Sus scrofa: one gene and its partners. The protein of the gene in region 1 purifies or fractionates together with the protein of each later gene. This does not show direct contact. Links are inferred from orthologs where the notes say so. Each region holds a gene or a part of one and is shown in the gene's direction. Other genes may lie near its edges. The genes, in order: VIM, SYNC, XPNPEP3, SQSTM1, NES and GAN.

Region 1 (4,947 bases):
TATAAGAAAAGGAAGTGATCAGAGCTTTTGCCCTCTTTTTTGCCACATGAGGACACAGCAAAAGGTGGCCACCTGCAAACTACCAAACAGACTCTCAGCAGACCCCAGGTCAGCTGGCACCTTGATCTTGGACTTCCTGCCCCCACAGCTGGGAGAAATAAATGTTTGGTGCTTAAGCCACCCAGCCTATGGCAATTTGTTGTAGCAGCCTGAGCTGAGACAGCAAGCACACACACACCCATCCTAAGGATACAGCTTGGGGACAGGTTGCAAAGGAGAAGGGATACCCCCCGAGATGATGATGAGGCCCCAGCGTCCCCCCCAGAGGGAGTCACCCACAGACCTGAGGAATGTGCTTTGGTCACCAACAGGGCACCCTGCCACACCGCACCAGAGCCTTGCCCTCATTTCCCCGTGGTGACTCAGTCAGCAAGCGTCCCCTGACAGCACCAGCGCATTGTCCTGGGATCAGCATTTTAGGTGGGAGGAAGGTCCACCCTCCCTTTCCCCAGAGGGAAACGGCTTTTTCTCATCCGAAGGGTTCCAGGCAAACTCACAATAGTGACATTTGCAGAGCGGAGCTCGCATAAAGGGCTCTCAGAGCATAAGTGGGCCCGCTAGGACGCCACACCCCAGGAATGCGCCTCGGGAGGGACCCGCAGAGCGGGGAGAGAATTAAGGCAATCCACAGCGGGGGAGCGGTACAGCAAGGGGTCCTGCAGCGCGACCTTGGCAGCCCCACCGGCCAGAACGAACTGAAAGGAGGTAAACAAAACACTGCCTAAAAGAGGCTTGTACAAAGAAGTGAAAATAAACCCTTCATTTGGTTCTGAACTATTTTTTCTTAAATGCCAGGCAACCTTCAGGGCCCCCCTTTCCAAAACAAAAACACAAAAGCAGAGGGAAGAATTTTATCTCCCTCCACATCCACCACTGAATCAAGATGTTTCTACTTTTGCAGTGATTTTGGAGTTAATCCGTTCAATACTCAACTCTTCTAAACACTGAAACACCACAACAATAACGACGAAAACCTGTGATTTTTAAATTGCTACGAAATCACTGACAGACTCTCTTCTCTGTTCTGCGCTTTACTCATTCCCAACAAAACCCCTTCAGTTGAGTGATTTACCTAGAAAGATTTTCAGGTTGGAATCTGAACACGCCCTTGTGCCCTGGACCAAAAGTTTTCTCCTTCTGTAGACAGCTTTATCCCCCTCACTCCAAGATGAATTGCAGGAATTCTTCTGGAAAATAGGCTAAGGGACCTGTGACATTTCTCAGACAAGTCACCAGAATCCTGCGCTGTGCATCATGCGTGAACTAAAATGAACACATAAATCTAGTCTCAAACATTCAGTCCCTTGAGTTACATAACTGCCTTTTATTAATCAAATTAAACATTTAAAGCAACATCTACTTAATTCTATAATTGGTGTAGATTATATCTTTAATGTCTCTCACTACAGCAGAAAAAGCAGTGATCACTCAATTGGATTTTGCAACTACAGAGTTTCCTCTTTCACCCAGAAACGTTCAGATCTTGTTAAAAGTCGGGTGCGGTTTTACGGGGGGAGGGGGTGGAGGAAGGCGGAGAGGAGACCGGAGGGGAGGCGGGAGGAAACTTTGCAAGAAAAACCCTCCCCAAGTGCCTTTGTGAGGCCGGAGACCGGCGTTTGGCGGTTACAGAGCCTCCGCGGAAGTTTCTTACTAAAGAGAAGCCAGCATATTGGAGCAAAATCTGGATTGGGCGCGTTCCTAAGAATTTAGGAGCGCTCTAGACTCCAAACCAGCGAACGGCACATAAGAAAGCAGAGCCCAGCTCGAAGTTGGGTAAAACTTAGAACCAACAGTACTCGCACAGTGGCCCGGGGAGACGAAAGTCAATCTCGTCTAACGGTTTTCCTGAACCGCTAGGACTCCTCAACCTCGGTGGCGGGACAGCAGAGCGCAGTGACTCACTGCCAGTGGTGACTCAGCGACCCCACCCATCTCCCCTGGGCTTTCCTTGGCCACTTCCTTGCAGCTCCTTGTCCAAAGCCGGGCCCAGCCGGTTAGGTCCCTGAACAGGAACTCCTACTACAGGAGGACGAGGAAAGTTGGGGCCGGATTGGTCCCGCTGTCCAAGCAGGCGTGCGCAAGGCTGCGCAGAGCCCAGAGCCCTGCGCCCCGGGCTGTGCGCGCCCCCACCTCGCGCTCCAATCTCAGGCCCTCTTTGTTTCTTTCTCCACGCCTTCCGATCTGCTGGATCCCTCACTCCTCTCTTCCGGCTCCTTTACCCGCGGGGCCCCCCCACCCTCGCGCTTCCAGGCGACCGCAGCCAAGGGGCCGCGCGCCCCTCCCACCCGCACGCTTCCTCCTACGCCTCCCTAGCTGGCTGGGTGCCCGGGACCCTTGTGGTTCAGTCTAGGGAGGGCTCCCCCATCACCGCGGGACCCAGCCTTTTTCATCACCCAGAGGTGAGCACACCTCAGGCCATCCTCAGGAAAGCCCCAAAAGTTCCAGTTCAGCCTCCAAGTTACTGGGGGACTGAGCATAGTCCCGGTTGCGGAGGAGGGGGGAGGAGGGAGGCTCCCGGGCTCCCCCGCCCCAAACCCCAGGCCAGCCTTCCCGCCTCTCGCCGGGTCCCCATTGGCTGGCGCACTCCGCCGCCGGGATGGCAGTGGGAGGGAACGCTCCATCCTAAGGCGGTTATAAAAACTGCGCCCTCGGCGGGGTCCCGTCCTCTGCCACTCTTGCTCCGGGGTCCCCGCGCCAGAGACGCAGCAGCGCTCCCTTTGCCCACACCCACCGCTCCCTCGCTCGCCTCTCCTCCCGGAGCCAGTCCGCGCCACCGCAGCCGCCCAGCCCACTGCCACCTCTGCAGCCATGTCCACCAGGACCGTGTCCTCGTCCTCCTACCGCAGAATGTTCGGCGGCCCTGGCACCGCTAGCCGGCCGAGCTCCAGCCGGAGCTACGTGACCACGTCCACCCGTACCTACAGCCTGGGCAGCGCGCTGCGTCCCAGCACCAGCCGCAGCCTCTACACCTCGTCCCCGGGCGGCGTGTACGCCACGCGCTCCTCGGCCGTGCGCCTGCGGAGCAGTGTGCCCGGCGTGCGGCTGCTGCAGGACGCGGTGGACTTCTCGCTGGCCGACGCCATCAACACCGAGTTCAAGAACACCCGCACCAACGAGAAGGTGGAGCTGCAGGAGCTGAATGACCGCTTCGCCAACTACATCGACAAGGTGCGCTTCCTGGAGCAGCAGAACAAGATTCTGCTAGCCGAGCTCGAGCAACTCAAGGGCCAGGGCAAGTCGCGCCTGGGGGACCTCTACGAGGAGGAGATGCGAGAGCTGCGCCGGCAGGTGGACCAGCTCACCAACGACAAGGCCCGCGTCGAGGTGGAGCGCGACAATCTGGCCGAGGACATCATGCGGCTGCGGGAGAAGTAAGACTAAGCGCCCGCGGGGCTTCAGGAGGGCGGCAGAGGGGAACCGAAGCTAACACGCCCTTGGGGATGTGGCTGGGGCGGTGGCTGCCTGGGGTACGCGGTGGGCGGGGGGAGAGCGCTGTGGCTGCTGCGGCGCAGCCCTGCCCTGAACCCAGATCTTGCAAGTTAGCATTTACCCTCTACCCCGACTCATTGCCCAAGAACGACCAAAATTCAGATTTCTTAAAACTACCACTTTGTTGTTACTCGAAGGCTCCTGCAAACGATCAGTGCGATTCCCCCAAACTTTGAGAAAGTTTCCTGGTCCCCTCTGACGGGCTGCTCTTTCCCCAGGAGCGGTGTAGGAAGCGAGACAAAGGGATTGCAGAATCTTCACGGGGGAGTGGGGTGGTGGCATTCGCCTCCCAGGTCATTGTAGCAACTGCGATTGCTTTTTACGCAGCGGCCAGGGTCCCTTTGAGATTTGCCAAAGGCAGCAGTTCTAAAAGCCATAGTCGCCGACTGCCACAGAGGTGGCGCAGCAACTCGGCTGTCTCGCGGCGAAGACGTGGTGGTTGGGTGTGGTCGCCACGCCCCTGGCGGTTTCCCAGTTCCCCTTCGGTTGATGTGCATCTCTTTCAGGTTGCAGGAGGAGACGCTTCAGAGGGAGGAAGCCGAGAGCACTTTGCAGTCTTTCAGACAGGTTTGTAGATTCTCTTCCCACTTGCAGCCACCCGACCCCACCCACCCAACCTACGGGCAGTTCTCAAAGTTACTTAACCCAAGTCTAAATCGTGCAAAACTTCTCGTCTGCTCGCCAAGCCCCCTAGTGGCAGAAAGACCACAGTTGGGAGCTTCTCCGCCTTAAAAACCCTCGAACGATTAAACCGTTCCTTCCATAGGACGTGAATAAAGTCTTTTTGACTTTGTTTCAAGATTTTTTTCCCCCAAGACATGACTTTTTTTTTCCCGTTTCGGTTCTGCAACACACTGATACTCTGATCTCGAACAGTTACAGTTTGATTCAGACTTCGGTTTGCCAAAGTCAAGCTAGCTAACTTTTACAGGGCCACACAAAGCGGAGTTCTGCCCCGTTAGTTTCAAGTGTACAATGTATTGGAGAATTAGAAACTTGGTTTAACTGGACTTAAGCCAGCAAGTTTCTTTTCTTCCATGCAAGTTCTATTGTGGCCTAAGGTTAGATGGAAGTATCCGTGTGCACAACTATTTTGTGATCTAATAAGGGTGAAAAGGAGCCATCTGTCCCCTTGGCTGAAAGGTATTAATGGTTTCTATGGGCTTCACTATGGAATGTAGATACAGACATTCTGGCAAGTGTGGTGGCTCTGGACAGGAATAATAGGAGTCTTTGTGTTCCCAGAGACTCTTTGCAACAGGCTACATTCTTATTGAGTATGTAATGATGTAAGCAGAGTTCTAATTGGACACAAGTATTTGCTAACATCCGTTATCTAATATCTGGCTCAGACTCGTGAAGTGCTAGACGTGGAAAGTCCTTAAAGCTACAGTCGTA
Region 2 (4,461 bases), on another chromosome or scaffold:
ATTAGTGATGTTGAGCATTTTTTCATGTGCCTGCTGGCCATCTGTGTGTTTTCTTTGGAGAAATGCCTCTTTAGGTCTTTTGTCCATTTTTTGATTTTTTTTTTTTTTTTTTTTTTTTTTGCCTTTTAGGGCCACACTTACAGCATATAGAGGTTCCCAGGGTAGGGGTCAAATCAGAGATATAGCTGCTGTCCTACACCACAGCTTCAGCAACATCAGATCTGAGCTACTCTGCAACCTACACCACAGCTCATGGCAACGCCAGATCTGTAACCCACTGAGCAAGGCCAGGGATCGATCCCAAAACCTCATTTCCACCACGGCATGTGGAAATTACTGGGCCAGCACTTGTGGCCTGTGCTGGATCCTCAACTGACAAAGGTTTACTCTCCAAAATACACAAACTACTCATACAACTCAACAAAAAAAACAGGAGTTCCCATCTCGGCTGGTGTTGCTGTGGCTGTGGCACAGGCCAGCAGCTATAGCTCAGATTCGACCCCTAGCTGGGGAACTTCCATATGCCACGGTGCGGCCCTAAAAAGACAAAATAAATAAATAAAAATAATAATATTAAAAACAAACAAAAAAATGTCTAGTAGCCACACTAAAAATGTAACAGGTGAAATTAATGCATTTTATTTAACTCAATATATCAAAAATATTATCATTGCAACATGATTAAAACCTGAGGCATTAGGAGTTCCTGTTGTGACTCAGCGGTAACAAACCTAATATCCATGAAGATGCAGGTTCGATCCCTGGCCTCCATCAGTGGGTTATGGATCCGGCCTTGCTATAAGCTGTAGTGTAGGTCGCAGAGTGGCTCAGCCCCCACTTTGCTGTGGCTGGCAAATGCTGCTCCAATTCGACCCCATCCCTGGAACTTCCACATGCCGCAGGTTGTGGCCCTAAAAAGACAAAACAAAAATTTGAAGTATCATACACACACTCACATTTATATGTATACCCACACATTTCATGTGTGTATGCCAAGTCTTAGAAATCTGCTGGGTTATCTTACACTACAGCACATCGACTAGCTCTATTTCAAGTATTCAGTAGACAGAGGTGGCTAGTGACTTCCATACTGGACAGTGAAAACCAGAGGAGAAATGGAAGGTCTAGTCAAACTAGAGAGGGTCTGAATGCCAGACTAAAGAAAGTGGAAAGCCTATAAATGATGGAGATGATAAAGCAGTTTTAGGAAGTTAACCTAGTGGTGCCTCATATGATTGACTGGAGACTGTCCTTAATGCTTGTCCTTCTAACAATACTTCATCCTCTGTTAAGAGCTTATCATTGATGGGGCAGACTCCTTCCCAAGCATGTACTTTTGAGGCCTGGGAAAGTGGGGCACAGAGATATGCAGATGCTCTCCTTTAGAGAACATGCTCGTAGGTGGTTAAGGCCTCATCTGTGTGGAAATGTGGTTAGGCACTAAAAAAGACCTTTTGCCAATGTTGATGAAAGTTGAGATTCAGGAGTTTCCGTCGTGGCTCAGTGGTTAACGAATCCGACGAGGAACCATGAGGTTGCGGGTTCGATCCCTGGCCTTGCTCAGTGGGTTAAGGATCCCGCGTTGCTGTGGCTGTGGTGTAGGCTGGTGGCTACAGCTCCCATTAGACCCCTAGCCTGGGAACCTCCATATGCCGCAGGAGCGGCCCAAGCAATGGCAAAAAAGACAAAAAAAAAAAAAAAAAAGACAAAAAAAAAAGAAAGTTGAGATTCAACCAGAGTATCAAACACTGCAGATTGACACGCCACAGATATATCAAGAATTACTCAAAGAACGAATTATTTAGGCTCTTTTAATGATAGTATGCACCCAAACTTGGATTCTTAGGTTATTATTCTTCAAAATCAGAATTTTGAAGAATTTCCTACAAGGTGCAGTGGGCTAAGGATCTGGTGTTGACACTGCAACAGCTTGGGTTGCTGCTATGGGTTGGGTTTGATCCTTGGTGTGACCAAAAAAACCAAACAAATTTAAAAAAATGAAAATATCTTCCAATTCTAGTGCTCCCTTCCCAACTCCCCCAATGCTTCCTGGGGGCCCATGTCAGCTAGCTATAAAGCCAGAGACCGATGTGCTGACATCTTCCTTAGGTCTTTCCTCAGGTATTAATCCTAGGCAGAGACAATGTACAGAACACATCCTGCCCAGTTTCAGTAGAATGGGAAGCAGTCATGTGAGGACCCCTGAGGGCCTCCAGGACATAACACCTCCACCTTCCAACTTAGCACTTTAGAATCAACTGTCCTTATGCATAGCAAGCAAAGGATATAGAAAATGAACAACCATGATATCCTCAATAATAAAGCATCTATTTGCACCTTATAGTAAGTACTAAGATATCTGACTTAAAGGAGCTTCAAATATAAAACCATATTTACCGTTTTTCCTTTGAATAAACAACTCAAACATCTTCTAAAAACGGACTTGTTATAGAACAACTTTCCTAAAATTCTAGTTAATATTCAAGAAAAATTACTTACACAAAGACTTGATTTCTTTCAACATAACATGATTAGGAGTTCCTGCTGTGGCTCAGCAGTAACAAACCCAATTAGTATCCATGAGGACGGGGGTTCAATCTCCGGCCCGGCTCAGTGGGTTAAGGATCTGGCATTGCCCTGAGCTGAGGTATAGGTTGCAGATGTGGCTCGGACTTGTATTGCTGTGGCTGTGACAGAGGTTGGCAGCTAAAGCTCTAATTGACCCCTAGCCTGGGAACTTCCATATGCTGCAGGTGCAGCCCTAAAAAGACAAAAAAAAAAAGAAAGCTGTAGTAAACAGGCAAGATGCCTTTTAGGTCACCACTTTCAAAAATAGTATGTCAAAACAATGTCTTTGGAGCTGGCTGTAGCACAGTGGGTTAAGGTCTTGTCACTGCATTGCATTGGCTCAGGTTTGATTCCTAGCCTGGGAACTTTCTCGTGCCACGGGCATGCCAAAACCCCCCACAGCTTCTTAAGATAATGAATCTGTCAGTCAACCTCAACACTGCTCTGCAGATTAAACAATGTGTAAGAAAGTGCTTTGTAATATTACAATGTCAGGTTTTTCTTGTTTGGCTCATCAGAAATGTTCTTGATCCTCTCATGCAGGAACAGCTGGAGGAAATGGAAGAACGGCAGAGGCAGCTAAAAAGTGGGGTGCAACTCCAGCAACAGAAGAACAAAGAGATGGAGCAGCTAAGGATCAGCCTTGCTGAAGAGCTCTCAACTTATAAGTCAGTTTTTGCTTCTACCCAAATCTCAACCAACCCCAACGTTGGGGAGGGCTGATGTTGCTCAGGGGAAATTTCTCTTGACAGTGAAAAGCCAAAAAAGTAGTTTGAGAAGTGATTTTCAAATTGTGCTCACCCTTAGACAGATGGAAAATGGCTTTCTTTTTTTTAAGGGCTATGCTACCCAAGAGCCTGGAACGGGCTAGTGCTCCCACTTCTGAGGCGGGTGGAATTGAGACACAGTCTCAAGGTGATCCTTGTGGGTACAAGAATGGTGTTTGCATTGAATTGCTGCTTTCCTAATCTAAAAATACTAATGCCTTAAAAAAATACTAAGTGTGTGTCTAATGACAAATAAGTCATTTAGGGATAACATATACCTGCAAATGCATTCAGGCTTCATTTGGAGTGTTTCAATTTCTAGCAGGACTTAAAGTTTGCCTGAATTATCATCAGGAAGTCTAGAACAGGATACAACATCTAGGTTCTGTGCATTTCTACTTTCCTCATCCTACCTGACCCCATCTGCTAACTCAGTTATGCTGCCTGATTCAGACTATGACAAAAAAGGCTAAATTAAACTGTTAACAGTTGTGTCAGAAGCTGAAGAGGGTGTTGTTTATAGACTAAAGGTACATAACTGTTGCTTACTTTGCTAAACAAGCAACACTTATCCACTAATTTCTTTACTTAACAGTATGTTCTCTATTCTTCATATTCTCCTGGATAAAGAAACTAAGGATTAAAAAAGGTCTGTCAAGTTCAATACTAGATCAATGTCCCTAATTTTTTTATGGCCGCACCCCAGCATATGTAAATTCCCAAGCCATTGCAGTCAGATTTTTCTTTTCTGATCCCATTGCACCACAGTGGGAACTCCTTGCAGTTGGATTCTTAACCCACTGCACCACAGCGGTAACTCCCAAATGTCCATAATTTTTAATTCCCTAAGTAATCCTACATCCTAGATACAAATTCACAAATAATTATTATAACTGGTACTTCCCCTAACTTCCTAGGGTTTTGTTTTAATTTTTATTTGCTAGCCACACCTGCAGCCTATCCAAGTTTCCAGGCCAGGGATCAAATCCTAGCAGCAGCTGAGACCTATGCCAAGCTGTGGCAAAGCTGAATCTTTAACACACTGTGCCAGGCCAGGGATCAAACTTGCACAGCCCCAGAGACAATGCCAAATCCCTAACCTGCTGAGCCACAGTGGTAACTTGTT
Region 3 (4,974 bases), on another chromosome or scaffold:
ACTAGTATGTCACCTCTCAAAATTCCTCACGTAGTAGTGAATTTTAAAAATCACTTCGGGAAAGATTTCCCTTTCTCCCTTAAATTCCTCCACAAAACGCAGAATACTAATCTCTATTACACGCTACATATCAAAACGAATTTTTGTATTTATTCATCTGTATCCCTAAATAGATTGTACTTATACTGTTTCCTCGCTAGCATTTGGCACAACGCCTGTTCAGTTAATTCCATGCACGTAGCGACGTACTCTGGAGTTAAAGATAACAAGAACAGATCGTGTTAACACGCGGGTCCTCGAAAAATCATTTTTCTTAAAGTGCCTGAAGTGATGGTACTGCCACTAATCAGATATAAAAAGCGATTCCCAAAATGATTCTACGCCCTTAAAGTCGTTGTAAATGTAATCAAAGCTAGGTATCATTTTTACAACACTTTTAAAGACACAGTGCGTAAGGGAGTTGTTTTGTGTCACTGCGACCTAAGCAGGACACCAGATTTCAAGAAAAACAACTCCACGCGAAAGCCGAGTCTCGCAGCTCGCGCCCCTCCCCCTCACGTCTTCCGTGTCCAAGTCCCCGCAATCGCCTGCATCTCGCCCAAGACACACCCCCGGCGGCCTCCGGGGGCAAGGAACGCAGCTGGGCCTCTGCCTTCCCTGCCTCTCAACTACCTAAGCTCCCCGATCCCCCACTGGACCCTCGAGGGCGCCTAGCTTTCCCGGCCACGGAGCGAGCCACAAAGCGAAGGCGACGCCACTGGCCTCGCCACCGAGCTCCAGGCTCCGCCGCCCCGCGCCAGCTCCCGCCTAGCTCCCCCTCCGGCCGTCCCTCTTCCCACCCCCAACGGTCCTCAGGCCCGGGTCTCACCTCTCCACCCACTCCCTCAGGAAGCGCATTTCCTCGGTGTGCAGAACGCTCGGGTCCTGCTTACACATTTTCACGAAGGCTCGAAGTTCGCTCACTTTGCGGGGGTCCATGGTCCGGGCGCGGCGGGAGGCGGCGGGCTCGGCGGTGGCTGTGGCCCGATTCCAGGCCCGGGCGCTGGCTCAGCGTGGCGTAAAGGGGGCGGCTGCCGCGAGGCAGAACAGACTAGAACCTCCCCGGCCGCTGGCTCCGCCCACCCAACGGTCTCGTGACCCCGGGTCCTTCGCCCGTTCATTCCTGCTCCCTTTACCTCTGCCCTGCGCACTAGCTAGAACATTCTAGAAGTGTGGCTGTTCGTGCGGTGCCTGCCTTTGCACGCACGCATTCTTACAGCCTTAACTCAGAACCACAGCTCTGCATGGTTAAGTCCCCAGCCGTGCTTTCAAGGAGGGCAGGACCTCTCGGCCCCTGCAGGGAGCCATTTAGAACAGGACATTCTGTGAGTGTGGCCACTAAATGTAACACGACGTCATGACGCCCAAAGGGCTCTCCGGCCGGAGCAGTGGTCACAGCTCCGCACGTGACGTCAACATTGGGCGCCGCCGCGGGAGGAAAGCCCGGCGAGCGGCGCCGGCCGGAAGGGGAGGGGCGCTTGGCCGAGGTTTCCTGGCGACGCAGCCCTGCGGGGCGCCGCTTCTACGGCTGTTTTTTTTTCCTTTTCTCCCAGGTCCGTGTGCGTGGCAGTCATGCCTTGGTTGCTCTCAGCAACTAAGCTTGTTCCCGCCGTAGCAAGCGCCCGCAGCCTCTCAGGTTAGACTCACCTCCCACAGTGTCCCCTCCAAGGCTTGCTCGCTGAGAAGCCTGAGGCGCACCAGAGGGAACCACGTCGATCTCGGGAGATTCCTGGTTCGGCGGACCCTTCTCCTGCTGGGGCCTCCACTCCCAGACCCTCTGTGCGCTCCTGGGATTTCTTCTCTACCTGCTGCTTCTGGAAAAGGGTGGGCCTTGTGTTCGCTCTACCGTTGAGGTATTCGGGGAGGTTGAAATGATTGCAGAGAGAAAAGCGTGCCCTGTCTTCCCGCAGGGGCTGTCTTCACAGTAACTTGGACTCATGGAAGTTGTAGCAGGTATCACACTTGCTCAGGTGTCAAAGTGTCTCACATCGAGTGACTCTCGTTTCTATTAAGTGAACGTAAGATTGTATTTTCGTGTTTTCAAAGATTTAACAGCTCCAGAATGGACAAGAAACGAATGTTTGCTAATACAAATTCTTTTGAGTAGTTCCCTGTCAGAGATACTCGTGAGGCTTTTTATGTCTGGAAGCCTTGCTTGTTAAGGCCAGATGGAGTAGTCCGGGAATATGGGGGCCATTTTTTTAGGGTGTACTCTGTCACGAACAATTAAAGTTCTTTGCCTTTACTTGTGACTTTTGCATTTGTTGAGGCTTTGTGTAAAACGTGATTAATCAAGGTTTAGGGCAAGGTACTGTATTTGGTACACACCAAAGTATTCATAATGCTTCGTTTTGCTTCAGCAGTATAAATAACTTTAACCACCTCTTAATGTTAATATAATATACATAGATAGGCTTTTTGAATGAGTGAATGATGAATGATCCTCTTGGATCGTTGCAATTCCAATAAGTTAGAGCAAATACCATTTTACCGATGGGGAACTGAAACTAACACAGTAACAAGTAAGAAGTCAGGAATGTTAGTTGTATGATTGCCATCTAGACCTTTTGCTGTTATACCTCTACTTGGTCTTACTCTGGCTTAGTAGAGCCCTTTTGGAACTTTTTTTTGGGGGGGGGTGTCTTTTTGGAGCCACACCCATGGCATATGGAAGTTCCTAAGCTAGGGGTCTAATCAGAGCTGCAGCTGCCGGCCTATGCCACAGCCACAGCAACTCGGGATCTGATCTGCGTCTGCGACCTACACCACAGCTCACAGCAATGCTGGGTCCCTAATCCACTGAGCAAGGCCAGGGATTGACCCTTCATCCCCATGGATGCTAGTCAGATTCGTTTCTGCTGAGCTACTCCATCTTTTGGAACTTTTTAGTAAGCCAGAAAGAATGTATCTTCAGTTAACAACTTTTTAGTCGTCATTGTGGATGAATCTCCACTTCACTAGAGTTGCTCTCAGTCCAGGTAGATGTTAGAAAAGCAACGGATAAATAAGAATATAGCAAAGGATGATAATAGTGTCTTGACTCAAGTGACATGGGGGCTCAAGCAAGGCAGTAATGGGTTGTAAATATGTTATTCTAGGATTTTATTAAGTTTTAGAAAATTCCGCTGGCTTTTGGTGGTCATAAATAGAACTTTGAATGTCTGTGGTGCTCTTGCTTGTCCTTGTTAGAAAGGCCCTTCTGTGTATTGAGCACCGTAGGGAACTTTCTCTTCTGGGAAATTCAGTGCATTCTCAAAGTGAAAATGTTTTGACTAGCTAATTTGAGTGTGATTTCATTTGTTGTAATCTATAGATATTAACACCATCTAGTCATTTGAGAAAGGGCAAAATGTGGAATGATGCATCAGTTATATATATATATACTTTTTTTTTTTTGTCTTTTTGCTATTTCTTTGGGCTGCTCCCGCGGCATATGGAGGTTCCCAGGCTAGGGGTCGAATCAGAGCTGTAGCTGCTGACCTACACCAGAGCCACAGCAATGTGGGATCCGAGCCGCGTCTGCAACCTACACCACAGCTCACGGCAACGCTGGATCGTTAACCCACTGAGCAAGGGCAGGGACCGAACCCGCAACCTCATGGTTCCTAGTTAGATTCGTTAACCACTGCGCCACGACGGGAACTCCAGTAATTTATATTTAAAAAGACTAGGTCATTTAAGATAAATGTAAGTGTGAGTAAGGAAGGGGAATATTGAAAATATTAAAGATTAAGTAGAAAATGAGTTTAAAAGCCTGTTTGCAGTTTGTTCATGTAACAAACATTGAGAGAGTTCGTGGTGGTGCAGCAGTAGCAACCGGACTCGTGTTTAATCCCTGGCCTTGCTCAGTAGGTTAAGGATTCTGCATTGCTGTGAACTGCTGGTGTAGGTCGCAGACACGGCTCAGATCTGGTGTGGCTGCAGTTGTGGTGTAGGCCAGCAGCTACAGCTCCAGTTCGACCCCTGGACCAGAAACTTCCATGTGCCACAGGTGCAGCCCTAAAAAGCCAAAAAAAAAAAAAAAAAAAAAGAAAACCAAAAAAACCCAGCCTTTAATTGAGCATCACACATGAGCACTGAGCACAAAAAGTTTCTATCATCATAGGAGATAGACGAAAAAGCAAGTAATTATAATATTCTTATGGGGAGAAGGAAAAGGTGTTATTTTCTGGAGGCAGAGAAATATGGTCGTGACTTTAAAAGATTAGGAGATATTTGATGTGAGACTTGAAAGAAAGCTTTCACCAAGCCAACTGGAATAATGGAGCCATCCTGGCGGACATAACATCTAAAGTCACAGAACTCTGTAATAGAAAGACTGGTACAAAGCTTTTAAATCATTAACAAGCACGAAGAAGCTTTTTTGAAGTATGTCTTTTTTTTCTTTTTAATTTTTTGGGGTTTTTTTGGTCTAAAAAGGGCTGCACCCCTGGCATACGGAGGTTTCTAGGCTAGGGGTCGAATCAGAGCTGTAGCTGCCAGCCTACGCCACAGCCACAGCAATGCCAGATCCAAGCCACGTCTGCGACCTACATCACAGCTCACAGCAACGTCAAATCCATAACCCACTGAGCAAGGCCAGGGATTGAACCTCTATATGCCGCAGGCGCGGCCCTAAAAAGACAAAAAAAATAAAAATAAAAGTGGATCGGAGGGCACGTCATTGTGTTCTTAAATTTTCAGACACTGATTTTTGCTTTTGTTGTTGAAAAATTGCGTTTTTTCTTAGTCTTGTTAGTCCCACGTCTGTGAGAACCAATAAAGCCTGCTAAATAGCACATTTTATATAAGTAGCATCTAAAATACTCTAAGCTGGAGTTCCCGTTGTGGCGCAGTGGTTAACGAATCCGACTAGGAACCATGAGGTTGCGGGTTCGATCCCTGCCCTTGCTCAGTGGGTTAAGGATCTGGTGTTGCTGTGAGCTGTGGTGTAGG
Region 4 (5,220 bases), on another chromosome or scaffold:
ATGCTGACTCACTGCTGGCCAGGCCACCTGACCACAAGCACAGGCGGAGAGGGCCCTGCCAGGGGGTTCCCCAGCTGCCGTCTTGTTTACCTTTATCAGGCCTAGAGGGAGGGCAGGGCTCAGCAGCGGGGTATGCTGGGAAGGCTAGAACTTTTGGCTCCCAAGGAGCAGGGGTCTCCCTGCTTCCCAGAGTCCCGTTTTCTTCCACCTCCTTTCTCCCTGAGCTTTCCATCGCTCCCTGCAAACCCACCACTGTCCCAAAACAGCTAAAAGGCAAGAGAGCAAAGGTGTTGCTGGTGGCAGCATCTGTCTCAGTTACTTATTTAGACAGAGACTGTGCCTGGAGACCTCCCTGAAACTGGAGGCTCCCCAGAGCCACGGGGCTTTCCTAGCACACCCCCATGCTTGCAGATGGGGACAATCAAGCTCTAGGATGCAGGATGCCAGGCTCTTGGCCTGCCTGGCCTGCCTAGGGCTGATTGGCTCCCAGGTTGCTGAGTCATATGGGGGCACCTGTGGGCTGTTGCAGCCTCTGCCCAGCACTGCCTGCTCTGTGTTCCTTAACCCTGTCTGTAGGGCAGTGGACAGGGAGGGTAAATTTCCCAGGCTCACAGCAAGAATGAAGGGAGAATCATGAGAGGGTGACTGTCCTCTTCACAGCCCTGCTTTGGGCAGGGGTTCAAAGCCTCACCTACTCTGAAACTCTCTGGGAGGAACAAGCCACATCTGTGGCTAGGTTCCTGCTGTGATTCCACAAGCAAGTCAGCAAACTAGCCAAACCCAATCTACCTTCCCCATGGTCTCTGGGTTTCCCATTCCCTTAAGGTTTTTTGTTTGTTTGTTTGTTTTTGTCTTTTTAGGACTGCACCTGAGGCATATGGAGATTCCCAAGCTAGGGGTCGAATCAGAGCCGTAGCCGCTGGCCTCCACCACAGCCGCAGCAACCCAGGATCTGAGGCTAGTCTGCAATTTACACCATAGCTCAGGGCAACACCAGATTGTTAACCCACTGAGCAAGGCCAGGGATCAAACCTGCGTCCTCATGATGCTAGTCAGATTTGTTTCCGCTGAGCCACGATGGGAACTCCCATCCCTTTAAGTTTTACTGACTTCCACAAACCCCACCATGAAAAAAGTGAGTGTGACTCAGCAGGTCTGACTTTCTACCTACAGAGCCCTACTTGGGAGGATTCATAGGGTGACATACCCGCCTGCTTACCTTCTTCTAAGGCACCTCCTCCCCCAACAACCCCCTTCCCCTAGGCACTTTGAACAGGTCACTTCGGTTACATAAAAGAGTGTTTCTTGGCTCCTGGGGGTGGGGTAGGGTGGGGGCTGTTGATGTAATCCCTGGGCTGCCCATGAGGCCAACAGACCTGAGATCTTTCAGGCCATTGGGCACCATTTGCTGAGCTGAACCTTGAGCTGACAAGTGGGGATGGATGGGGAGTACCGATGGGGAGTCCTTAGGGCTTCAGTGAACATTTGGTGGCCACTGAGGCTCCAGGAAGCCTTAGCAGACCCCCCAGCAAGGTGGGGATGGGAAGATCCTGTGCTCTTCTGGCATCTCTCAACCCTACCCCCTATTAAACTGGAAGCTCCTCTGGTGCTCAGGTTTGAGTTGAGTGTCTGTGCTTTAACCCAGTAAAGGGCCATTAGGGGGGATGCTGGGGGCGGCGTAGTGGGCTGCCACCTGAGAAACTGGTGGCAAGAGCGGGCCCTTGACAAGAGTGGCAAGGTCAAGACAGCGCCTCGGGAGCCAATTTGTTGTAGCTAGCAGTGTCAGCAGTGTCCCCTCTTCCTGGCTTCCAGCCTCTGTTGCCCACCTCCCTCCTGAGCTGTGCATCCCCGGTGGCCTGGGTTCCGTTTTGCTGAGTCACGGCCTGGTCAGGCCTGGGAGGGGTCTAGGGCGGGACCCTGGCCGGTCCCTTGCCCCAGGTATAGAGGTAGGCGCCAGACTTAGATGTCAGCGTGCGGGGCCGGCCTCTTGGTGTCCCTGGTGCACTTGGGGCGGTGAGGAGAGGGGTCGGGAATGAGGGGGCTCAACGGCGGGGAGAGGTAGCGAGGCTGGGGCTCCTGTAGGGCGGCTCTCGCGCGACGGCCGGGGTGGCTGGAGCCAGACCTCTGACACTCAGGCCCCGCCCCCAGGAAGCGATGAGGGGCGGGGCTTCACCCGCGTTCCCTACAAAGGCCGCGCGTCCCCTCCCGCTGCCGCCGCCGCCGCCGCTACCACCGCCGGGCTCTTCTCTTGCTCCCCAACTGGTGGTCATGGCGTCGCTCACCGTGAAGGCCTACCTTCTGGGCAAGGAGGATGCGGCCCGCGAGATTCGCCGCTTCAGCTTCTGTTTCAGCCCGGAGCCCGAGGCGGAAGCCGAGGCCGCGGCTGGCCCCGGACCTTGCGAGCGGCTGTTGAGCCGGGTGGCCGCCCTGTTCCCCGTGCTACGGCCCGGCGGCTTCCAGGCGCACTACCGCGGTGAGCAGGCCGGGCGCTCTCGGGGAGCGGTGCGGGGCCGTGACGCAGTGCTGCCCTGCCGGGCAGGGTCGCTGCTCCCTTCCTTCTCGTGGGGCTTGGGGCCGCCTGCGGGAGTTTGATCGCTCGTTGGGTGGGCGGTGGCCCGCGTGGGTTCCCATTTCGGCCTTGGGTGCCATTCTGGTAGCCAGGAGTGGTGACCACAGCCAGACCTGTGGGGTCAGGCGCTGCCAGTCCCCTAGCGGATCGGGCCCGGCGACGTAAGAGGCCTCCCCTCCCCCCACCATGATGGTGCAGATCTTGGGGAGGGCGCGCGGGGGCGTCCTCACGGCGGGCACGGGGTGGTTAGAGGGGCACTCGGGTTACACTGCCACTTGGCTACTGCCCAGCTGGGGCCCGCTAGCCCCAGATGGGGGGTTCGGATAGTAACCCGGAAGAGCCTGGGCGGGCAGATGAGGGGGAAGGGCTGGCTACGCAGAAAAGTGACGAGGGTAAATAAGCAGTGGGGAGCCCTCAGGGCTGCACAGTCTGGCCGGAGGTGGGGAGGAGAGACCATAGGTTGCCCAAGGCCAGGCGGGATCCAGACGTTATCCCGTTGGCAGCGGACAGAGGGACAAGGTGAAAACATTCTCGAGAAGTGTTGGTGTAGGGACAGAGCTCACGAGCCTGCCTAGTTTCTAGCTGAGCTGGCGTGACCGGTGGCTGCGCGGGGTGGAGTTGGGGGAGGTTGTTGTGACTGGGAGGGAGGCGGGCGGACCAGGCCCGCCGGTGGGTGGGGCCGTGCCGGGACCTCCCTCAGGACTGCTGCCAGCTCGCCAGCCCCTAGCTTTTTCAAAAAAATAACTTTGAGTTCCTGTTCACATACTGTAGTTTAAAGTGTTGAGTTTTTAGTATATTCACAGATTTGCGCAGCCATTATCACAATCATCTGGGAACATTTTCATCACTTTATACACCAACTCTGTTAGCTTCCTCCCATCCCCATCATCCTATCCTCCAATCCCCAAGCGACCCCTAATCTCTATGGATTCCCCTATTCTGGACATTTCATGTAAAAATATGTAGTCTTGTAACTGGCATCTCTTATTTACATACTATTTTCAAGGTTTACTTATGTTGTAGTATGTATCAGTACTTAATTCCTTTTTGTGGATGAATAATATTGTCTTATGGTCATGCCACATCTTGTTTAGCCATTCATTAGCTGATGGGTGTTTAGGTTGTTTCTGCCTTTTTTTTTTTTTTTTTTTTTTGTCTTTAGGGTCACACCGGAGGCATATGGAAGTTCCCAGGCTGAGGGTTGAATCAGAGCTGCAGCTGCCGGCCTACGCCACAGCCACAGCAACACCAGATCTGAGCTGTGTCTGCCACTTACACCACAGCTCATGGCAACGCCAGATCCTTAACCCACTGAGCGAGGCCAGGGATTGAACCCACATCCTCATGGATACTAGTCGGGTTTATTTCTGCTGAGCCACAACGGGAACTCCCTATTTCTGCTTTTTGACACAGTCCCTGATTTTATGGTAGATGTTGTGTTTGGTGGTCCATAGACCTGACCTGGCTTGCACATGTATTGTGTGGTTGGTTCTGTGTGGTGGTGCTTTAAATCATTTCAGCTGACATCTAAAAGTTGGAGGCTTCATACAAAGACATAATTTTAGCTTCGTTGGGGAGGAAGCAGGAAGATATATTCTACTTTCCTAAGCCACAAGAGGTCCAAGAATTTTGGAGGGGCTGGAACGCCAAGGAGCCAGTTGCAGATGGGGACCTCCCACAGTTGACAGGGTCTGGTTGGATGTAGATGGAGACAGCACCTTTCTGACAGAGCAGCTGGCCCAGAGGCAGAGTGGCAGGTGGCTGGGTGCTACCACTGCTGCCCACTGCACACAGGCACTCCACCTCCCAAGTGTGCCTGGGCCCAGCTTGGAGTGCTCACCTTCCAGGCAGTGGCAGGGTGAATGAGAAGTTCGGCCCCAGCCCTGCTTGCCCCTGGCTCACCCAGGTGGGCGTCAGTTTATAGCCCTGCACAGGCCCCTTTGGCACTGGCCTCAGTCCTTTCAGCAGCTTGTGTCCAACTGGGTGTTGATGCGCTGTCTTTTAAACATTCTAGATGAGGACGGGGACTTGGTTGCCTTTTCCAGTGACGAGGAACTGACGATGGCGATGTCGTATGTGAAGGATGACATCTTCCGTATTTACATTAAAGGTAAGGGGCTGCTCTGTGCTGAGTCAAACCAGCTTGAGGTCATGGAGAAGTTGCTCCAAAGAAGGGGTGAGGAGACTATGGGCCGTTTAAGGCAGGGCCGGGATCGTCTCTGAGGAAGGGTCCGTGTCCACCATGGTGGGGAGGTCAGAGGGTCTTTGGGTTCCCTCTTTATTGTGCCTGCGGGCCAGCTTTGGGGTTGATTTTAGTGCCGGACAAGTCTAAAATGGTGCAGACGCAACTCCCTGCTGCCTCACGCCGGCCAGGCTGCACATGCCCAGGTCCCAGGTGCAGAGACAGGGAACTTCCCAGAGAGTCTCATGTTGCTGGGTTATGGTCACTTGAACCACTGAATTCCTGTGGATTTGGTGTCTGAAGAGTGGTGCTGGGGCCTGCTGACTGTGATGGCCCCGTGGTAGTGACGGGGCGGGGGGAGTGGGGGGAGTTCTCTGTGGCTCACGAGTCTCCCGACTCTCTGCCCTCCCTGCAGAGAAGAAGGAGTGCCGGCGGGACCACCGCCCCCCGTGCGCGCAGGAGGTGCCCC
Region 5 (4,331 bases), on another chromosome or scaffold:
GGAAAATCAAGAAACACTGAGGTCTTTTGAAGGTAATGAAGAGACATTTTTATGTCCAAGAAAGGAAAATCAAGAATTGGTGACGTCTCTAGAAGAGGAGAACCTTCTAGTAAGGTCTCTAGAAGAGTCATTGAGAGCTCAAGAAAAGGAGAGTCAAGAGCCACTGAGATCTCAAGACATAGAGAACCAGGAAGCATTGAGACCCCTAGCAAAAGAGGGTCAAGAGCCACTGAAGTCTCTAGAAGAAGATCAGGAGACAGTAAGACCTCTAGAAAAAGAGAATCATGAGTCCCTGTGGGCTCCAGAAGATGAGTGTCATGAAACTTTGAGACCTCTAGAAAAAGAAAACCAGAAGTCACTGAGGTCTCTAGAAGACCAGGAGACAACAGGATCTCCAGAAAAAGAGAATCAGGAGCCACTGAGGTCTCCAGAAGATGAGAACCAGGACACATTGAGACCTCTAGAAAAAGAAGCTCAACAGCCACTGAAGTCTCTAGGAGAAGAAGACCAGGTGACACTGAGACCTCTGGAAGAGGTGAAACCAGAGCCACTAGAATCTCTTGAAAAAGCCCAGGAGATAGATAGACCTCTAGAAAAAGATAATCAAGCGTTATTAAGGTCCCTAAATGAAGAGAGTATAGAGGCAGTGAGATGTTCAGAAACGGAGACTCTAGAAGCACTGAAGTCTATAGGAGAGGAAAACCAAGACATAGCGAAACGTCTAGAAGAGGAAAGTCAGGAACCACTGGGGTCTGGGGAAGGGAACCAAGAGACATTGAGCCCCCTAGAAAAGGAGCATCGAGCATCACTGAGCTCCCTGGGAGAGAGGAACCTAGAGAATTGGAGATCTCCAGAGGAAGAAGGCAAGGAAAGTCAGAGGTACCTGGAAGCGGAAGAGAACGTAGAGAAGAGAGAGACTCCAGAGCCACCGAGGTCTCTGGAGGAGGAGGAACAGGCGACGCCACCCTCTGCACATCAACAGAAGTGGGACGATGTGGGCGGGGTGCAACGAGAACTGGATCAGGAAGCGCCCCCTGGGAAGGCTGGAGTGGACAGTGAGGACAAGGCAGACCTGGATCAGAGAGAACAGGATGGCATCGATGGCAAGGGGGAGGCTGGAGAGCAGGCAGGAGAGGCCACGGGGGAGGCCTGGAGCACAGGTGGGGGGCAGCCAGGGAGCCTTGAGCCCGAAGAGCAGAGCGTCCCAGCTGAGGGAGCCAGTGGGGAGGGAGGCACCCAGGGCTTCCAAGACCCTGAAGAGAGGCCAGGGCAGGAGGGGGCTCCAGGCTTCCGAGCTCCCCAGGGAATCTCAGAGGTGATAGAGCCCGTGTTGGAAGATGATGTGCCCCCTGCGGATGGCCAAGCCTCCCCAGAGGTCGCCTTGGGGCTGGAGGCTGCTGTGGGCGAGTCCGAGTCCATGGGAGCGGAGCAGGGGCCAGAGCAGGAGGCAGGAAGCCTGGAGGAGTCAGGTGGCCTGGCCAGAGAGGATGTGACAGAGTCACCCCTGGGAGAAGAAGGTTTGGAAGCAAAGAGGGTGCAGGGCTTGGAAGGGCCCAGAAAGGAGCTAGCAGAGGCGGTTGCTCTGGAGCCAGAGCTCGCTGCACTGCCCAGCGAGAGGAGAGACTTGCTGGAGGCTCCGGGCGGCTGGGAGGAATCAAAGCCTGAGGCCCCTGGGGAAGCAGAGGAGGCCTTCCCCACTGAGACCTTGCACCACAGTGGAAGTGATGCCCCTCAACCCAGGCCCCTGGGGTCAGAGAGAGCAGAGGAAGAGGCAGAATCCGTGCTGGGGCCCCCCAGCCCAAGGCCCGCTGAGTCCTCATCACCCACCCCAAACCCTGAAGATGCACTTGGGCCCCAGTGCCTGGCTGAGGGGACCCAAGAGACTGGCTGGGGGCTGGAGGGCAGGGCTGAGGTCCCTGAGGGGGAGCAGGAGGATTTGGGCTCTGGGGAAATCCCTGAGGGCCTCCAGGAGGAGGAGGAGGAAGAGAGCAGAGAAGAGAGTGAGGCCGATGAGCTAGGGGAGACCCTCCCCGACTCCACTCCTCTGGGCTTCTACCTCAGGTCCCCTGCTTCCCCCAAGTGGGACCTGGCTGGAGAGCAGAGGCCCTCCCCTCAAGGGGAGACCAGGAAGGAAGGCTGGGGTCCCGCTGCCCTGGCCCCTGAGGGCCTGGGGGCCCACCCCTCAGAGGAGGAGGGAGATGAGGAGGAGGAACGTGGCCGTGACTCTGAACTGTCAGAAGAATTTGAGGACCTAGGGACGGAGGCGTCTCTCCTTCCTGGGGTCCCTGGGCAGGTGGCAGAACCTTTGGGCCAGGTGCCCCAGCTGCTTCTGGAGCCTGCAGCCTGGGATCGGGATGGGGAGTCCGACGGGTTTGCAGATGAGGAGAGCGGGGAGGAAGGAGAGGAAGAAGATGAAGAAGAGGAGGGCAGGAAGCCAGGGGCTGGGCGGTGCGGGCCAGGGCCCTCTGCTGGCAGCCTCCCGGCCCTGAGTGACCCTCAGAGAGGGAGCCTCCTGGGGTCTGAGGCCGTGGATGTCAGTGTCCCCTGGGATGACGGCTCGAGGGGCGTGGCATTCGATGCCCCCATGACTGCCCTGGAGACTGGGTCCCAGGACAGCGCTGAGGCCTTGGGCTCAGAGGAAGAGTCCGCTGCTGCTCCCTTGGAGAGGCAGGACCACATCCCCGGCCCTCTGGAGACCCTCGGTGGGGTGGAGGACATGGCCTTGGAGGTAGGGGACACTTTTGGTGTCAATGGCCAGGGCCCCAGCCTGAAGGAAGAGCTGGAGCATGTGAATGGGGGGGTGGTGAATGGGCTGGAGCAGCCTGTGGGTGTGGGGCAGGGGAAAGCAGGGGCCCTGGAGGGGGTCCAAGGGACCCCCTTGGAGGGGGAGGAGGGGGGCGCCCTGAAGACCCCTTGGGCAGGGGCTCCTCTTCACCTGGGCCAGAGCCAGTTCCTGCCGTTCACTCAGAGAGAGGGAGATGGAGATTCCTGGTCCTCAGGGGAGGACTAGAGAGGGAGCTCCCCTAGGGCACTGAGGACTTGTGTTGGGGGGAGATGTCCCCAAGCGCCCCTCCCACTGAGGGGGCTGCACCCTTAACTATGATCTCTTGACCTGCCCTTTCTGTCTCAGAGGCCAGGCTGGCCAAGGTGAGATGGGTGAGGCAAAGGGACCTGTCCCACGAATGGAGGCTCCAGGAGTAAACTCTCAGACCCTCAGACCCTGCAGAGGGGGCCATCCTGCCTGCCTTGTCCCCTGAGGCTGAAGCCAACTGAATCTCAATAACTAGGGCCCCTCTTCTGGGCACCCCTTCCCCTCCTCCCATCAGCTGGAAAATCTCTGAGGGGGGCGGGGGCTCTGCCTTTCTTCACAGGGCGGGGCTTGGGCCGGCATCTGGTTAGTGGCTAATGAGGGTGAGGGGGTGCTCCTGTGTCCTGATCCCCCCATATTCCTGCCTTGTTGTGGCCCCCTCTGCCTCATCCCTGCCTGAATAAAGTACTGCCTCCACTTACAAAGTCTGGACTCTTCCTTCCTCAATTCAGGGGGGGCTTCGGTCAGGGCTGACACAGAAGCAGAAGAGGCGGGTGGGGAGAGGAGGACCTGGGAGGCGGGGAGGGAGGTGGGGGGGTGGACGGGGAGGGGGGAAGGAGGGGGAGACAGATTAAGCAGGGGAGCAGGGGAGAGCCTGGGAGGCAGAGGTGAGGGGGGTGGAAGAAAGGGAAGACAGATTAAGACTGCAGGCAGCAGGGCTGGGGACCGGGGAGTGCTGCGGGTGCGGTGCGCTTGATGGGGACAGGGAGGGGCCAGCCCAGGTGACCTCGGGGCTGGCAGAGACCAGGCCCATCATCATCTCTGCCCGCAGCGCTGATTACAGGGATTAGGCCCTCGGCCACCCCCACCCTCGCCTGTCCTCCCGGCTCTCACTGCCGCCAGCATAATAAGCCCCCTTCCCCCAAACCCAAACAATTGTCTGGCTTTAGTGTCTGCTCAGTCTGGCGGGTCAGAGCCGGGTGAGGGACGGGAGGGAGGCCTCTTCTGCCGTTAGTTGGGCTGTGTGGCCTCAGGTCAGTGTTTAACCTCTCTGAACCTCGAACCTCGATTCAGCCACACAGTGCGGGATGCTGGGCCCGGTGACCTGGGGGCCCCCCAAGGGCAGGGACAGCAGGAGGGAGGCCAAGGGAAGAAGCCGGAGGGCTACAGCTTAGATCTGAATAGGACTTTTCTCCCGTGTTGAAAAGGGAGACAGGGAAGGCAGGAGGGGGGAGGGGGATAGACTGAAGCTGTCGGGAGTGAAACAAGAGTGAGGGGAGGAGTTCTGGCTGTGGCACTATGG
Region 6 (4,461 bases), on another chromosome or scaffold:
GATATCCTGGAAACATCTTCCCGTAGGATCACTAAAGCAGCTGGTCTTTCAGACCAGTCTCCCAAGGTCCATGTAACCCACAACACAGCAATGCAAGTATTAATACTTAAAAGCAATATAATATCCTTTGAATGCTCTTTTTTTATTCTCTTTTTTGGCTGCCCAGCTGCATATGGAGTTCCCAGGCCAGGGATCAGAGTTGAGCCACAGTTGGGATCTGAGCCACAGCCACGGCAATGCCAGGTCCTTAACCCACTGTGCTGAGCTGGGGATCGAACCTGCATCCCAGCGCTCCCAAGATGCCTCTGATCTCATTGCACCACAGTGGGAACTACGGCATGTTGCTTTTAATGGGAACTGTGTTTCACGCTTAAGCTGAAGGGTACGGAAGTGCGCCATGTGTGCTCCTGACCCCACCCAGCGTTCAGCGTCCTTCCCTGCTACGGAGTCGCGCTAACCCCGCAGGGGCTCTGACGCAGGAGTGGGGTGAGAAAAGGGCACAAGGCGTTCTGGCAGAGGGGTGAGGGGCGTGGGCGCTCCCTGGAGTGATTGGCGTCACCCAAGGAGAAAGCAGGAGAGTCCTCGGGAGCTTTTGTGGCAGTGCAGTTCCAAATAGGAGGGTTCTGGGAGTGACAGTCTGGGAGGGTCTTAGGGAGTATCAGGCTCATGATCCACCGTGTTACTATGTTGGGGGAGGGAGCCAGATGACAGGGCTTTAAGTCTAATATTTGTACATTAGAGACTAGCTCCAAATACTGTATTTAAAAATAAAGAAATATATTAGGTTTCAGAGTGGCTTTTATTTAATTAATTAGTTTATTTATTTTCATTTTTTCCTTTTTAGGGCTGTACATTCGACATATGGAAGTTCCGTAGGTCGAATGTCAGGGGTTGAATCAGAGCTACAGCAGCTGGCTTACACCGCAGCCACAGCAACACCAGATCCGAGCCGCATCTGTGACCTACGCCACAGCCACAGCAACGCCAGATCCGAGCTGCATCTGTGGCCTACGCCACAGCCACAGCAACGCTGGATCCTTAATCCACTAAACAAGGCCAGGGATCAAACCTGAGTCCTCATGGATCCTACGTGGTCACATTTGTTAACTGCTGAGGGAGCTCCCCAGAGTGGCTTTTAAAATCCATAATTATGGAGTTCCTGTTGTGGCTTAGCAGGTTAAGAACCTGATTAGTATCCCTGAGGATGCAGGTTCAATCCCTGGCCTTGATCAGTGGGTTAAGGATCCTGCATTGCCAAAAGCTGCAGCATAGGTTGCAGTTGCAGCTCAGATCCTGAGTTGCTGTGGCTGTGGTGTAGGCTGGCAGCTGCAGCTCCAATTTGACCCCTAGCCTCAGAATTTCCTTATGCCACAGGTGCAGCTGTATAAAGAAAAAAAAAAAATTCGGAGTTCCCGTTGTGGCTCAGTGGAGATGAATCCGACCAGTAACCTTGAGGTTGCAGGTTTGATCCCTGGCCTCACTCAGTGGGTTAAGAATATGGTAAACCAGATAGAGAAAATGTCTCCACATTAATATTATAGAAACAATGTATTATTAATAATATTAATAATATTATTGAAACTTCACAGCGGTGCATCACATGTAAATCCGGAGTGATGCTATTGCACATTAAGCCTTTTTATCAGAGCCATGGGAGGTAGAAGGGAAAGGCTCCCGGGCCCCCCCCCACCCAGGGCTGGCCCTGACCACCTGCCTGTTGAGCGATTTTAGTTGCCGCGCTTCGGAAGACGTAAAACTCTGCAAACTGTCGCTCTCTTGCGTTTTCCCTGCCCGTGCTTTCAGGTCCACATGAAGGACGTCATGTCAGCACTCTGGGTTTCAGGGTTGGACTCCAGCTACTTGCGGGAGCAGATGCTGAGTGAGCCGTTGGTCCGCGAGATCGTCAAGGAGTGCAGCAACATCCCGCTCAGCCAGCCGCAGCAGGGCGAGGCCATGCTCGCCAGCTTCAAGCCCCGGGGGTACTCGGAGTGCATCGTGACCGTCGGTGGCGAAGAGCGGGTGTAAGTGTGGCCGTGCGTGGTTTCAGAGAGAGGTGGCGGTGTCAGGAAAGAGGGATTTCCGCGTAAACAGGAATTCATAGTATGTTTCAGTATCTAAAGCATGTTACCGATAGATTTTTTAAATCTATGTTAGGGACGTCTCTTGCGGCACAGCGGGTTAAGGATCCTGAGTAGCCACTGCAGCAGCTTAGGTCGCTGCTGTGGCACAGGTTCAGTTTTCGGCCCAGGAACTTCCGCGTGGCCAAAGCCCAAATATTTTAAACATCCTTTAGAGCAGTACAACTAGTCATGGTTATTATGAGCAGAGCTCCCCAAGCCACATGAACTGCTAATCGACTCTTTGTCTTCTTAGTTCACGGAAGCCAACAGCGGCGATGCGATGCATGTGCCCCCTTTACGACCCTAACAGGCAGCTTTGGATTGAACTGGCCCCTTTAAGCATGCCGAGAATTAACCACGGAGTCCTCTCAGCAGGTACCATGCTGTGGTCAACTTTACTTAACACAAGATCTAGGAATGTGGAGTTCCCCAGTGGCTCAGCAGGTTAAGAATCCAGCCTTGTCACTGCTGTGGCTCTGGTCACAGCTGTGGCGTGGCTTTGCTCCGTGGCCTGGCAACTTCTGCATGCCACGAGCACAGCAAAGACAAACAAACAAAAAATAAAGGAGTATGTAATTTCAGGGTTGTACAGAATGACTCAAAACCTTTTACAGGCATTAAAAGATTAAAAGATACAGATTATCCCCCTGTGGTGACATCTTCAAAGTAGCTCTAGGTTTCAAGACTATGGTAAGAAGAATGCCTGAGGTCTTTATTGTTCCCATTTTTGCCCCGGTTTTTGAGACTCAGTGGCTCTTACCACCAGCTGGCTGTATGATCATACCTGAAATGCAGAATTTCTTTGAGCAGTGATGGTCCCCCATCTTTGAAATTCATGCGCTTAGAATTACAGCATGTAAATATATCCAAAATAAAAGTGTCCTGTAAAAGCAGGCATTTCCTATGAGGCTTGAGAAAATATTACTTAAATTATTTATGGCTTAAAGTTATTTTACTCCAGAAAACGTTGAGCAGAGCTCCATGTTATGCACAGTTTTCACTCCAGCAGGTGATGGAAAGGTCAGCCTTGCTGTCCTTCTCCTCCTCACGTTGGATCTGCCTTTGGGTTCATTCCACAGGTGCCACCCACTTCATTCTGGTTATTCTCGGCAGTCTTCCGGGAGTCCTTCTTTTAGGGTCTCTATTTGCCCACTGGCATTACCTTAACAGTTTTACGTTACACCACACTGTGCCCCATTTTAGAAATGGCTGAAGCTGTTGAGTAGAAGTGGAATCATTTTATAGGTTCCACAGTTATTGGAGTTTTTATCAGTAATAATCAGCAGGATGGAGTGGTGTAGGCACCAGGAGATGGGTCTGATTTCCTTGTTGTGTTTTCTCAGAATTAACTTCCTTAAATTTTCCTCCCATAATGTGTACACATGTGTATAATTTTCACACGTGCACACCTACCAGAGGAATTGGCATTTCAGAAACGGGAGACAATGAAGAGAGGAATTGTGTCCAGATTGAGTAGTTCCTCTTTGTCCAGCCTGTTCCTCTTTTTTCTTTTCTTGCCTTTTTTCAAAAGAATTAATTGACTTTTTTTGTCATTCAGTTTTTTTCCCTCTCCACCAAGTTAGAAATTATATTCTTTATCTATATTCCTTTGAAGGTTACCTGAGAAACCACAGCCTCTTTTGTTAGGTTAACAAAGTCTAAAAGTCAATCAGTACATTTAGACTCTATTTTTCACATCCCACAGTTTTACAGAATCAAAATATATGATTACTTATGTGTAAATATCTGTATACATATGTTTATTACTCTGTTTTAGACACATATGTATAGGTAGTATTTGTTTAGCTTCATTCTCATATTTACCACTTTGTTTTTCCTTCTTACTCAAACTTTCCAGCTTGGATCGTCTTCCTTCTCTTTGAAGTTCATCCTTTTGAATTTCCTTTAATGTGATTCTAGTGGTAGCAAACTCTTTTTGCTTGTTTGTCTGAAAATGTAATTATTTTGCCTTCATCTTTTAAGGATATTTTTGCTGGGTATAAACTTTTAGGTTGGCATCTATTCTTGTTCAGCACACTGAAAGATTTTCCACCCACTTCTGTTAAGTCAGTTGTCAGTTTGAAATTGTCTTTTGGAGTTCCCGTCATGGCACAGTGGAAACAAATCTCACTAGGAACCGTGAGGTTGTGGGTTCGATCCCTGGCCTCGCTCAGGGGGTTAAGGGTCCGGCATTGCCCTGAGCTGTGGTGGAGGTCACAGACGTGGCTCGGATCTGCTGTTGCTGTGACTGTGGTGTAGGTCGAGGATGCGGCTCGGATCCCCTGGGTCTGTGGCTGTGGTGTAGGCCAGCAGCTACAGCTCCAATTAGACCCCTCGCCTA

The links.
Region 2: the proteins of VIM (region 1) and SYNC purify together in Homo sapiens (affinity purification with mass spectrometry; 3 studies listed by BioGRID and IntAct, counting the BioPlex papers as one, with this or other methods). This does not show direct contact. The link is inferred for Sus scrofa from reciprocal best matches to the Homo sapiens genes VIM and SYNC.
Region 3: the proteins of VIM (region 1) and XPNPEP3 purify together in Homo sapiens (affinity purification with mass spectrometry; 3 studies listed by BioGRID and IntAct, with this or other methods). This does not show direct contact. The link is inferred for Sus scrofa from reciprocal best matches to the Homo sapiens genes VIM and XPNPEP3.
Region 4: the proteins of VIM (region 1) and SQSTM1 purify together in Homo sapiens (affinity purification with western blotting; 3 studies listed by BioGRID and IntAct, with this or other methods). This does not show direct contact. The link is inferred for Sus scrofa from reciprocal best matches to the Homo sapiens genes VIM and SQSTM1.
Region 5: the proteins of VIM (region 1) and NES purify together in Homo sapiens (affinity purification with mass spectrometry; 3 studies listed by BioGRID and IntAct, counting the BioPlex papers as one, with this or other methods). This does not show direct contact. The link is inferred for Sus scrofa from reciprocal best matches to the Homo sapiens genes VIM and NES.
Region 6: the proteins of VIM (region 1) and GAN purify together in Homo sapiens (affinity purification with mass spectrometry; 3 studies listed by BioGRID and IntAct, counting the BioPlex papers as one, with this or other methods). This does not show direct contact. The link is inferred for Sus scrofa from reciprocal best matches to the Homo sapiens genes VIM and GAN.

Annotation. Positions count from the first base shown.
Region 1 is NC_010452.4:43,514,772-43,519,718, forward strand, and holds the start of VIM (vimentin), read left to right. Parts: upstream 1-1,669; 5' UTR 1,670-2,868; coding exon 2,869-3,431; intron 3,432-4,055; coding exon 4,056-4,116; intron 4,117-4,947. UniProt on the Homo sapiens protein: Vimentins are class-III intermediate filaments found in various non-epithelial cells, especially mesenchymal cells. Vimentin is attached to the nucleus, endoplasmic reticulum, and mitochondria, either laterally or terminally.
Region 2 is NC_010448.4:89,008,911-89,013,371, reverse strand, and holds part of SYNC (syncoilin), read left to right. Parts: intron 1-3,111; coding exon 3,112-3,236; intron 3,237-3,406; coding exon 3,407-3,536; 3' UTR 3,537-4,461.
Region 3 is NC_010447.5:7,579,500-7,584,473, reverse strand, and holds the start of XPNPEP3 (probable Xaa-Pro aminopeptidase 3), read left to right. Parts: upstream 1-1,493; 5' UTR 1,494-1,611; coding exon 1,612-1,675; exon of another isoform or gene 1,676-1,976; coding exon of another isoform or gene 1,977-1,992; intron 1,993-4,974. Other genes in the region: ST13 (hsc70-interacting protein), read right to left, coding at 869-978. UniProt on the Homo sapiens protein: Catalyzes the removal of a penultimate prolyl residue from the N-termini of peptides, such as Leu-Pro-Ala. Also shows low activity towards peptides with Ala or Ser at the P1 position.
Region 4 is NC_010444.4:78,760,933-78,766,152, reverse strand, and holds the start of SQSTM1 (sequestosome-1), read left to right. Parts: upstream 1-2,154; coding exon 2,155-2,473; intron 2,474-4,583; coding exon 4,584-4,679; intron 4,680-5,166; coding exon 5,167-5,220. UniProt on the Homo sapiens protein: Molecular adapter required for selective macroautophagy (aggrephagy) by acting as a bridge between polyubiquitinated proteins and autophagosomes.
Region 5 is NC_010446.5:93,418,387-93,422,717, forward strand, and holds the end of NES (nestin), read left to right. Parts: coding exon 1-3,010; 3' UTR 3,011-3,513; downstream 3,514-4,331. UniProt on the Homo sapiens protein: Required for brain and eye development.
Region 6 is NC_010448.4:6,951,225-6,955,685, reverse strand, and holds part of GAN (gigaxonin), read left to right. Parts: intron 1-1,803; coding exon 1,804-2,021; intron 2,022-2,373; coding exon 2,374-2,495; intron 2,496-4,461. UniProt on the Homo sapiens protein: Probable cytoskeletal component that directly or indirectly plays an important role in neurofilament architecture.